3 linked regions of the Arabidopsis thaliana genome follow. The protein of the gene in region 2 purifies or fractionates together with the protein of the main gene of each other region. This does not show direct contact. Each region holds a gene or a part of one and is shown on either strand. Other genes may lie near its edges. The genes, in order: AT3G55070, AT1G61150 and AT4G09310.

Region 1 (3,756 bases), on a different chromosome or scaffold from region 2:
ATCAATCATTAGGAAAAGATACAAGTTGAAGCGTCAATTTTCAACAGTTATATAATCAAAAGAAGGAAAACTTCACCTTATATTTTGAGCATTCTGTGGTACTTTTAAAAGCCAAAGTGGCCAGAACATGCTGCAATTCTTTCATATGGGTTGTTCCCCATGATGCCAGATGCTTTCGAGCATACTGGATTGCTTTTTTGTAGCTCTCAGCTGTATCAACTCGTACCAACTCGATGAATTCTTGCAGCCTTAGTTGGAACTCAAATTTGCTCTGTTATGAAAAGGAAAATATATAATTAGCAATGAACAATTATACATAGAGTTCTGGTAAAAAATTGGATACTTTAGCCAAACCACATGGAGTTCATAAAAAATGAAAGTAAAACTTAACCATGAGAGTACATAGAGCACGTACCTTTGACTTTTTCAACCGCGTTTTGTTATCAGCACACCATGTCAATGCAGAAGCTACCTCCCTATTTTTAAGGGCATCAATCACCTTCTTAGCTTCTCGAAATATGTCAATGTCGACAAGGTCCTGAAAAGATGAGATATTTATAATTAGCATTTCATAGAGATGCAGTACAAATCAACAAATCTGTTTCACTGCTTGTAAAAACGAAACAGCAAAGAATATGTTCTGATATATTAACCAAGACAGCAATATAGCATAATAGTGTGATATAATGAGTGTCAAGAGGATGAGAGAAACCATAATATTGCTGCTTTCCGAAAGCTTTGTAGCAGTCTCGAAATATGACATCCGCAGCATGTAGTCTACAAGAATCCGTTTCAGTTTGGTATTATTCCATTCAGTAATATTTTCCACATCTACTGAATCCAAATGATCGATGCGAGCACGACATCTCTGGGCTTGCAAATTCTCCACATTGCTCCCTTCTTCCAACTGAGATACAAAACCAAAAAAATACGTAAGCCAGGCCATATCCATGTGATGTTACTCCAGAAGATATAGAAACTATCCCAAATGATAAAAATTTAGAAGACAATGCAAATAGTCAGATGGGAAGTTCCAATGAACCAACTCCACCACTACATTGAATTCATCGAGATCCAATGTCTAGTGAGACATAATTGCCAAAGACAGATACTTTACTTTGATCTTCAACATCGAAGATCAAATTTTTTACAGATAAGTGGATATCATTTAGCAAAATCAGAAACTTTAATCGCTAAATTAATTGATTCAGTTTCGTCTACATAATTTAAAACACCGATCACAGAGGGAGAGAGACGGAAAAATCAACCTTTCGTTTGAGGCCTTGTAATCGAGTAACAAGGCAAGTAAGACGCGAAACGGTATCGTCTTTAGACCAATCGGAATCAGCCAATTCTCCGACGCCGTTAACAATGGTTGAGACCTCTTTCTCGAAAGAACGGTGATTGGTACGGATCGTCTTCTTGTAATGCTCGAAAGGAACGCGGAGGAGCTGGTGCTCAAGCTTGAGAGATTCCGTAAATTGATTCGATCTCGAAGACGAGACGACGACCGGCGACGGAGTGATCGTAGCGGCGGATTCCGTCATGACGGTGTCAGAGTTTCCGTTGGTGGCGGAATCGATTTCCATGGCAAGAAAATGGGAGGAAGAAGTTAGCAGAAATTTTGCAGAGAGAGTTTAGATTTTGCCTTGTGGTGGTGATCTTGATTGATTGATATATGTATGAGAAGAAAAAAAACTACAGAAGAAATAAATAGTGCCAAGTGAAACGGCGTCGTTGGTTTGTGGTACTCTATAGTTCAAAACGACAGCGTTTGAAAAGGTAGGAAACCGTCCGGTCTGATCTAATCCCTAACCGAGAGTATGTTTTGATTTTTGGGCTTTGTCATTTTAGTTTGCAGCAACGTTTGATCCAGTACCAGGTCCAGTTGATGAAACAAAAATAGTCTAGGATTCCCAATTTTTGATTAATATATAACTAGTCTATACAAAATATTAATATACAGATATTTTTAATTATTAAAAACCCTTTTTTTACTGAAATTAAATTTACCTTGTGAAAAAATATCTCAAAATAAAGTCTTTTTTTTTTTGGGCTTTCAAAATATTAGGACTGATCGTGATTATACCTAATATGTTATGAGTAAAACTAAAATATGGCCAAAGTATCAATGCAAAAAAAAAAAAAAAAAAAAAATTTAACACATGATGTGTGGTCAATATATAATTCCAAGTGTAAAAAAACTATATATAGATAATATTTTATTTATAGAAAATATAATTATAAATATATGATGTCAGATTTCTATCTAAAATAACGCATTACTTCTCTTTTATATTATTTCAATTTATTACGGGCAACTATGTGTCGAAATACTATATGTATTGTTTAAATACTAGGTGCTATTGCCAAACATAAAGAAGAAAAATAAAGCATGAAAGTAAATTGAGAAATAACCTTATCATTTTTGTTAGATTTCTCGACTTTTATACCAAATTTATAATTATATAATTGATTATGAGCGTAGTTGGTAATTTATAGTATTAGGTATGGTGGTATACATACACCTTCCCGGTCTCAAAGCTTATCAACAACAAAAACGGTATCATACCAACAATTCTTATCGTTATCACTTCAAAACTGTATCATAATTACCTCATATCACTCAAACCTATATATTTTATTATACTTATCTTAAAACAACTAAATACCCTACATTTAATTTGTAATTTACAAGTTTTTCCAATGTTGTTATTGATCACTGTTATGTGTTGTTAGTGAAAAACAAATAATTGTAGCCCCGCTCCTCCAAAAGTCCAAATGGCTCTATCCGCCGCGCAATGAAAGATTTAAAAAGGTTACCAGAAATACCCTTCACTGGATACTCTATTTACATTATCACACCGCCAATAAAGATTTTTGGAGCCGTTTTGTTCTTTTGGATTCTTCGTCGTCAACGAGACACTCTCACACTTCTTGCACTTCTCCCTTTAGATCAAATCCACGTTATCTAGCGCTGTTATTAAATCTGCGTTTCAGTTTCTTCTCCATTCGAATTTTCGATTTGCAAAATCGCTGTTTTATGGTATGTTCATAAATTCTAAAGATCTTCCCTTTTGAAATTTTAAAATTTTTCTCTGTGTTTCTTTGGTTTTCTTTAAAGCCAATTGTGTCGTCATAAAAAGCTGTCGCCTCTCAGTGTTTTTTTTTCCTTTTTCTTTCAATTTTCCAACTATTAGAAGAGAGTAGAGAGAGTAGAGTTGGATTTTCTGGCGACGAAATCGATTGAGATCGTTTAAAGAGAGAGCCTTTCTAGATTTTGTTAGTGTTCGAGTAATCTCGCCGAACATAATCTTCATCAACTTCTCCGCAAGTAGGATTTAGGTTCGATTTGTGATTTGATTAGTCTCTAGGGTTTATCGTAGCTTTGAAGATGCTTAGGGTAGTCTGGTCTTTTATTTTAGGCCTTGGCTCGATGTTTACTATGATAAGTCTTGAGTTTCTGAATCTCTGAGTAGAGTTATAGTTGATTATCTCGAGTCTAAGATCATTTATGCTGTTTTTTCTCATTTCTTTTGTTGAACTGGTTTATCTTTCATCGAGCAAATTGTTTGTAAGATTCACTTGGAGCACTTTTTTTGGAGATTGACATGAACTAATTTGCTGCAAAATGTGAACTTTTCCTAGTTTAGTGCAGGAGATATCTTACAATCTATTGATTTGCTTCTATATGTTTTGATTGCAGCTGCAGTTGTTATAGCACCTTTTGATTGGAGAAAACAATGAAAAAGCTCT
Region 2 (3,756 bases):
TCACAAACATTGAGTTGCTACATTAACCATGGAGGAAAATGGAAAGTTTCAAGAAGAACTTGGATGATACATGTTGTGGGTGAAGTAATGAATGAAAAATTTTACTTGTTATGTAGAGAAGAGTTGCATATACTTTGAATCTTAAGATTGATAATGAATGATGCTCGAGATTATAATGGTATTTTGTGGCTACTAAAAGACAACCAGTATAACATCAAAATTCAAAAGCTACCTTTTTCGTGGCTCTGGCTTGTAAGAATCGCTGCATTTACTTCACTTGCTGTCTTAAGACGGTGGGAAAGATCAAGAAGCTCTTTAACCGGGCAGGTAGAGGCATCGTCAAAAACAAGTAGGGCTACAGTTTTTTCCAATTCTTCCAGAAACGCTTGCTGCAGAGAGATATAACAGACTGTATGAATGAAGTTTCAGCAACAACAGATATTACACACAGTCAATGAGCAATACACATGGAAAACACCATCTTTAACGACAGAAATCAAAGTGAAATACAAAGACTTACGTTTTCTTCGCCACGTGGTGCAAGTTCCTCCTGAGCAAACTCTAAGGCCTCTTCTGTCTTCCCTTGTCGAATTAATTCTATCAACCTTTGCTGCTGAAGATGAAAAAAGAGCTCCGGATTCGTGTCTAGTATCTGCAAGCATGGGTTCAAAGAAGAATCAGATTTTGCTTCTTTATTACATCAGAAAAGTGAATGACTACTCTCCACACAAGATATGAAGAAGCATTGTACCTCAGGATTCAAATCATTAACTTTTTCAATCGCATCCTCGACATTTCCGTTTTGAACAGCCTTTTTAACAGCCATTCGATCAGTAATGGTCGCAAGATCTATCTCTGCTGTTTCTCGATAAGGAAGTTCAAAAGGAGTAGATAAGCTAAACATCAAACACACCAATTCCATAAACAAAAACTCAAAACCAGAATCAGAAAAAGGATACGTTTGGTTCCAGACTCCCTTTGGAATTTCTCAGCAGCTTCAACATATCCTTCAGTCACAAGAAAATTCATCACCAAAGTATTCATATCTTCTTTCCTAAGCTTCACAGCATTTAGTTTCTTCTCCCATTCTTCACGTGTGATCATTTTCTTCGAAGTAGCCTGCGACAAGCCACGATTAAAACTAGGTCACACAACGTGCATAAAGATTAAAGTTTTCCAAAAACCCATCATCAAGTTGTATCAAATAACACAAAGAACAGACTCATAAGAGGAGTCAAAATTACCATATCTTCGTCGTCTTCTTCAAGCTGATTGATAAAAATACGAAACAGTGACATTAGAACGCCAGTGAGGCTCTCATATCTTGAAATCTAATCTAATCCACTCAATACGAAATTAATACCTGTTCGAGCAACACTCCGATCAGAGCTATTTCCAAAAGAAATTGACTTTGTGATCAGATAGTGATACAAAGTAATTTAGGGCTTTAGTCAAAATTCAAGCTTTAATCTCAAAACAGCACAGGAGTGGTAGTTCTAAGAAAGAGAGAGTGTGCGACTATTTTCCTCAAAAATTGAATATAACGATGTACCTGGAGAAGTGGAGAATCTGGGGAAGATTATCTGGGAACGATTCTTGCAAATAATCCGGAGATTTGGCGATCGATTTGCTTCTAGATTGCTTGCGAAAGTCTCTTCCCTAAATTTACAATCTGATAAAACAAAAAAAAGTTGGAGGTTTTCGATAGAGAAGAAGAGATCGGGTTTAAATTATTAGGATGTTGACGAACCGTCGATGAATAATCCGGTTTAAATTATTAAGGGAACCGGTTTGTTTTTGGATTTGGTTCTTTATATACCGGATAGTATTATGTAACTCATTTCCAAATGATTTTAATACCCAAAGATTTTTAAACTATTTTACCTTTGAAGAACAAAATTTCGATTTAAAATCATAATTTTTTTTTATTTTTTTTTTTAAATCTTGGAGGTTGTGGGTCAAAGTCCGTAATCCCCCAGGCCTGAAACCACAGCATAAAATATTAGTTTCGTCCCAAGCGTCACTCGAACCGGCGACCTCTAAGCTTTGCATAAGGTCTTTACCAATTGAGCTAACGACACTTGGTTAAAATCATAATTAAATAAGACTGATGTTAAAAATCTCTATATTATTTGGAATTTGATACACAATTTAAAACCAATAACTGATACTCTATTATACTCTATTAAAATCAACTATTAGGTAACAAATATGTGACATAAACATTTTGCAGTCCGATGCAAAATATATCTTTCAATCTCAACAATATGTTTTTTCTTGGTCAACAATCTAACAATATGTTTAATTGCATCTTCAAACTAAAGTCCCAAAACATGTTTTGTTCTTTGCACATGGTTGTTTGTGTGGAACCACAATAAGACAAAGGATCGATTGCAGAATTTGAGGTCTTCTAGCTAGTTGACCGACTAAGAATCAATGGACCACTTATTCTTTAATATTATTTTTCCCAACTGGTTTGGAAGGACTTAGTGAAGAAGTTACACTAAAACTTCTCGAGTCAATCCTCATATGGTTTCTTTTGGCAATTCCTATCTCTGCAAAATCAAAGGCTCTTCATATCAATTAATATGGCAAGCAACTACTTTGAGACATGGCAAGAACGGAATTGTTGATCACATAATAAGCAAGCTCTTTCTCATCAAACTACCTACAAAGTTTTGCGCTCTACAAGATATTTGATCAATCATAAAAATGGTGATCTCGTATAATACTAGTCTTCTTTTAGGGCTAACAAATGATTCAGAAGATTACAAATGTGCTTTGTAGAAATTAGCAATATAGTGCTTTGTAGAATTTTATGACCACAAGATTGGTAAGATCATTTAGTCAAATATATGTTTTATCTCTTCTTATTGATTGAGATGATTATTTTTCTAATGAGTCGATCCACATGTCTAATTCCAATTGATCTTTGTGATTTAGTTTCATATTTGTTTTCTTTAACATATGAAATTTTTTTGTTAGTGTAGAAAATCTAATTTTCACACAATTAAAAATAATTTTTACAATAAATTATGATTAGCAAACACTTCAAAAAAATCTCCATTACTTAAACACTTCAGTTTCCTACTACTAATTAAAGTTGTTTCCTTTTGTTTAAATTGTGATTTTGCTTTAACAATAAAGATGACGGCGCATAAAATATAATTATATATAATCATGCATTATTAAATAATGAAAAAATGGAAAAAAATGAAAGAAAAAGAAAAACAAATGTTCGACCGTTCCTTATTTAAAGCCGGAAGTCCCATAGCCTTGTGGTGTTTACTTTTTCCAATTCGGAGAAAGCCAAAAGAGAGAACAAGGCAATAAAAAGAAGCCACCGTCGCTACAAAAAGTCGCGATTTTTATTTTCTCTATCCCAACTGCTCTCTACCTTTCCTCGAAAATTCCTTCAAAACCCAATTCTCAAGCCTTCTTCTTCGTCGTACCTGAAAATTCTACAATCTCTGGATCTACGCGTCTACTTCTGAATTTCGATTTGGGTTTCCCGGGAGCTGAAATTCCGTGACTTTTGGGTTTTCTGATTTAGGGTTTGTTCCTCTTCTCGTTCTTTCTCGGGTTAGTTTTTTTTTTTTTTTTTTGTGATTTTTGATGGGTGAGGAAGGTTCAATGTTTGGTCTGGGAGGTGAATTTCCGGTTGATGATTGTGATGGTGGTTTTGAGTTTGAAGATGATGACGAGACTATTGACATCGAAACGCTTTATCGGATTCTAGATGAGAAGCCTGATTCT
Region 3 (3,756 bases), on a different chromosome or scaffold from region 2:
TCACAGAAAAAAAATAAAAAAAAAATTACAGCAAGATAACCATAGCAGTGAAAAGTACCTCTCTGAGCTTTTTCCTTTGATGCAATTCATACTCATCAAAACTATTTTCTTGTGCAATAACAGTATGACGACTTGCAGCCAGGTTAAAAGCTCTAAAGCTATCTTCATATCCATAACGAAGAAGGTAGGTTTTTACAAGCCTGGAAAAAGGAAGCTTTAGCACAAACAGAAACAAGAATTACAATTAAGAACAGGCAGGAAAAGACACTTTACCCATGACTAATGCTGCGAGACATGGAAATCTTTTCAATTTCCCTTTCTTTTTTAACCCTCAATGATTCTTCAAAATGCTGAAATAAAGGTGGATCAGATAATAGAATATTGTATCAGAAAAATATGCCACATACATGCAAATATGGACATATGTGAGAGATGCATATTATTCTGCTTACTCAATAGTTATTCTCCGACTATGCAAGAAAAGAAAAGTACGACCTTACCTCAAAGTCAAAAGAAAACGCAATCTGTCCGCCGAAATTGACAGTGACAGCTTCGTTTTGGCTATGCAAAACAATTGTCGGGTATACAGGACGCCTAAATTGCCTGGGGATTGTCCCTACGATAGTTCCATTTTTCCTATAATCAAAGAAGTAGTCATAGATGTCAGCAAGTAAAACATACGCAGGGACATGTCAAAAACATTGTGACATGAAGAAATGAATTGTGTATCTTGATATCTACTTTTCCAATTGTAATGAAACATGTTCAGATAGGGAAACAGTTATTACTTACGTGAAAAAGAATTCTTGTGAAACCGAGTCTATACCGCAACCAACTAAATCACCTGTTGTATAGGTGTCACTGGCTTTAGCAACAGTTCGATCACCATCTCCATTTTGAGAGCATATGAGTCCACTGTTACCAATGTAGGCACAGCTTCTGACAGTATATCTAACATTACAGAGAAACATGAAACAGTGAATTGGAATGCTTAATTACTGAAAGGTGAAAACATCTAACAAAGCAAATCTCCCATTAACTTGTAAGATACCAGATCTAACAGCCAACACAATCAAATTGAGCAGCAAATCACATAACCTATTTCCAAGTAACGAATCCAAACCATTGAAACAGTGATTTGAACTACTGATCTACCATTGTATCTAAACCTATTTCCCAATTTGTTCTCTCAGTCTCAGGTACCAAATCAAACAGAATCAATGATTGTATTGAGTATCAAATCACGCAATAAGTGGTAAATGCGAATTGAAAGGGAAAGAAAACGATACCCTTCGCTATAGATGTGTTCCTTGGAGAAACCAATCGCGATCTCTCCTTTTTCACCAGCATTCATGATATGAACCTCGAAGTAGTAAGCAAGACAGTTAGTCGGCGCCGGATTTTCAGTCTGAAGAACTACGCCGTCGTGATCAGGGCCCGTGTATTGACCGGAGAGCCCATCGGGAGAAACAAAGGTAAATTCGTCTGAACCACCGACCGTGTATAGCGCCGTTGGCCGCAATTCTTCTTCCTCTTCGTTTTCCTCCATAGCTTCTCTCTGGTCAGAATCCCCCAATTCGTCCGAATCTATTGAATCGTAGAGAAAGAAACCCTAGAAATGCGATTGAAATGAAACCCCCAAATGTTGTTGAAGGGCATCAAAAACCACTTCGCGCCCAATGTTGTGTTTGCCAACAATAAATACGATTAAACCAGATATTTTTTAGTTAACCGGTAAATCAAATAACCGTATATTATTAAGTAAATAGATGAAACTCGGTATATTATTAAGTAACCATTTCTATGTTTTTTTCTCTTTTGGTTTTTACTTTTTAGAGTGCTTTTGGGGTGAATTTACACCTTATGTGAACACTGTTTATTAATGTTTTTCAATATCAATTATACAATAAAAATTTATTAACATAAACTTTTCTCTCTCGGTTCTAGGGATGGTATTCTCATGTGATCTCTTACTTCCAAATGATGCCATGCTTCTTTATTCAGATCCGGAAATCAGTACTATGACGAAGGATATGGAGCTCCTCCATCACACAAGCCTCCTTCTAACTGTGGAAGTCCACCTTACGACCCTGCTCCTTCAACTTCATCACACATTGATATGGGGCTTGCTTGTTCCCTGTGGCACTGTTGGAGGAGGTTTTGGTACAGTCAGTACTCCCAGTAGCATTCCAGAGTTTGATCATCACATGAACCTTCTTCAGGCACTTTCCAGACACCCGCACCGATCCCATTCGTGCTCTCTTCCGTCAAGGTACAACTTCGTTGGGGTCGGATTCCCCCACAAGCAAGACCGAGCCAAACAGTCTAAGAATAACAATCACCTCATGGTTAAACATATGATTGGCCCCTAGCCTAGAACAAAGCACCTCGGGACCTTATTCGATCGACCGTCCCGAAGAGAGTTTGTAAAATGGCTCGGGTGTTAATCATATGAACACAGCCCGAGCCAATCGTGAGAACGCTGCGGGACACATCTATATCGGCTCGGGAGACAGCCAACTGAGCTTAATGGACAGTCATCAAGCGCGCCCCGAGCCGGTACATACCGTTTGCCCCGAAGCCACCTCTCAAACGACCACCGAGCCGTGAAGAACACGCGAGGCAAAGACTTGTAAAAACCATTCATTCTCCAAGGATCATTTCCGGTAAAATGGGATCTTTTATGGGACTTTCAGAAATGATAAAGGAGAATCTTTGAAGATAATGTCGAAATCAGGAAATCTCCCCAAAACCTCCGAAGAATAAGGAGAATATCCTTAGGACGATTATCCTCTAGAACCGACCTAAGGATAAATAAGAATCTTCCGAAGAATATCGCTAGGGAGGCGGTTTAAGGATCCTATATAAAGTGCCTTAGGGACTTCACAAAAAGGGGGAGATCTTGGGATATTCACAAGAAACATAGAACTTTATACCTATTGAGAACTACGAATGGCTTGATCCCTTCACAGGGTACGTAGGCAATCCATCATGGATGCAGCTATACCTTTTTAAAACTTTAATTCTTTTTCTGTTCTTGAGCAAAACCCTAATGTATTTCATAAGAGATTAGAACCCCTCTTGTAATCGAGTCTTGGATAGAATACCTAATGAAGAGAAATTACTAGATTTGTTTTCCCTCTCTAAACAAATCTATTGTGTGAATCCTTGGTTCAACAAACTTCTTGGTTAAACTCCATGACCATGGTCAACACTAAGTTCCCTTTCACAACACCCGCAGCTATTAGATACTATATATACTATAAACAGTTTAAGATTCGTATTTGAAGCCATCTCGAATATAAATCTATGTTTATGACTAGTCTGTTTTATAAACGATCCGTCAAGTCCTTTGAAGCCAGCTTTTTAGGTAAGGGAGAGAGATAGAATAACTAAGATAAGCAAAACAAAGATTAGGACGTATATGCATTGCCGAATAGTGAGATAAGTAGACAAAGAATGAGCAACTGTTTTTTTTTTTTTGGTTCTTCGGTCACACACCAAACAAACTTCAAAATGAATTCTTATGTAGCTTTATAGGAACCATACCATGGTGGAGAATAAAAGCCTAACCAGTAAACCAACATTTGAAAACAAAAACCCTCTCTTGTTATTAGTACTACCTAGGGGTCCAATATTGTCATGAATAAGAAAATCCCTAAATCATAAGAGCAAGGCTAAAAACTCCCCCCTCACTCAAAATACTCACTAGGAAGAAATGGTCATCATGTTCTTGCGACAGATCAGTTATATATC

What was found.
Region 1: the proteins of AT1G61150 (region 2) and AT3G55070 fractionate together in Arabidopsis thaliana (co-fractionation; one large-scale study listed by BioGRID). This does not show direct contact.
Region 3: the proteins of AT1G61150 (region 2) and AT4G09310 fractionate together in Arabidopsis thaliana (co-fractionation; one large-scale study listed by BioGRID). This does not show direct contact.

What each region holds. Positions count from the first base shown.
Region 1 is NC_003074.8:20,406,210-20,409,965, reverse strand, and holds the start of AT3G55070 (LisH/CRA/RING-U-box domains-containing protein), read right to left. Parts: upstream 1,693-3,756; 5' UTR 1,590-1,692; coding exon 1,269-1,589; intron 908-1,268; coding exon 713-907; intron 539-712; coding exon 416-538; intron 272-415; coding exon 77-271; intron 1-76. Other genes in the region: AT3G55060 (CAP-gly domain linker), read left to right, coding at 3,744-3,756.
Region 2 is NC_003070.9:22,540,470-22,544,225, reverse strand, and holds the start of AT1G61150 (LisH and RanBPM domains containing protein), read right to left. Parts: upstream 1,730-3,756; 5' UTR 1,553-1,729; exon of another isoform or gene 1,364-1,552; 5' UTR 1,299-1,363; coding exon 1,245-1,298; intron 1,120-1,244; coding exon 960-1,119; exon of another isoform or gene 923-959; coding exon of another isoform or gene 859-922; coding exon 752-858; intron 653-751; coding exon 521-652; intron 390-520; coding exon 233-389; intron 1-232. Other genes in the region: EDA16 (SNF2 domain-containing protein / helicase domain-containing protein / zinc finger protein-like protein), read left to right, coding at 3,616-3,756.
Region 3 is NC_003075.7:5,900,742-5,904,497, reverse strand, and holds the start of AT4G09310 (SPla/RYanodine receptor (SPRY) domain-containing protein), read right to left. Parts: upstream 1,686-3,756; 5' UTR 1,550-1,685; coding exon 1,290-1,549; intron 952-1,289; coding exon 793-951; intron 637-792; coding exon 501-636; intron 351-500; coding exon 274-350; intron 201-273; coding exon 59-200; intron 1-58.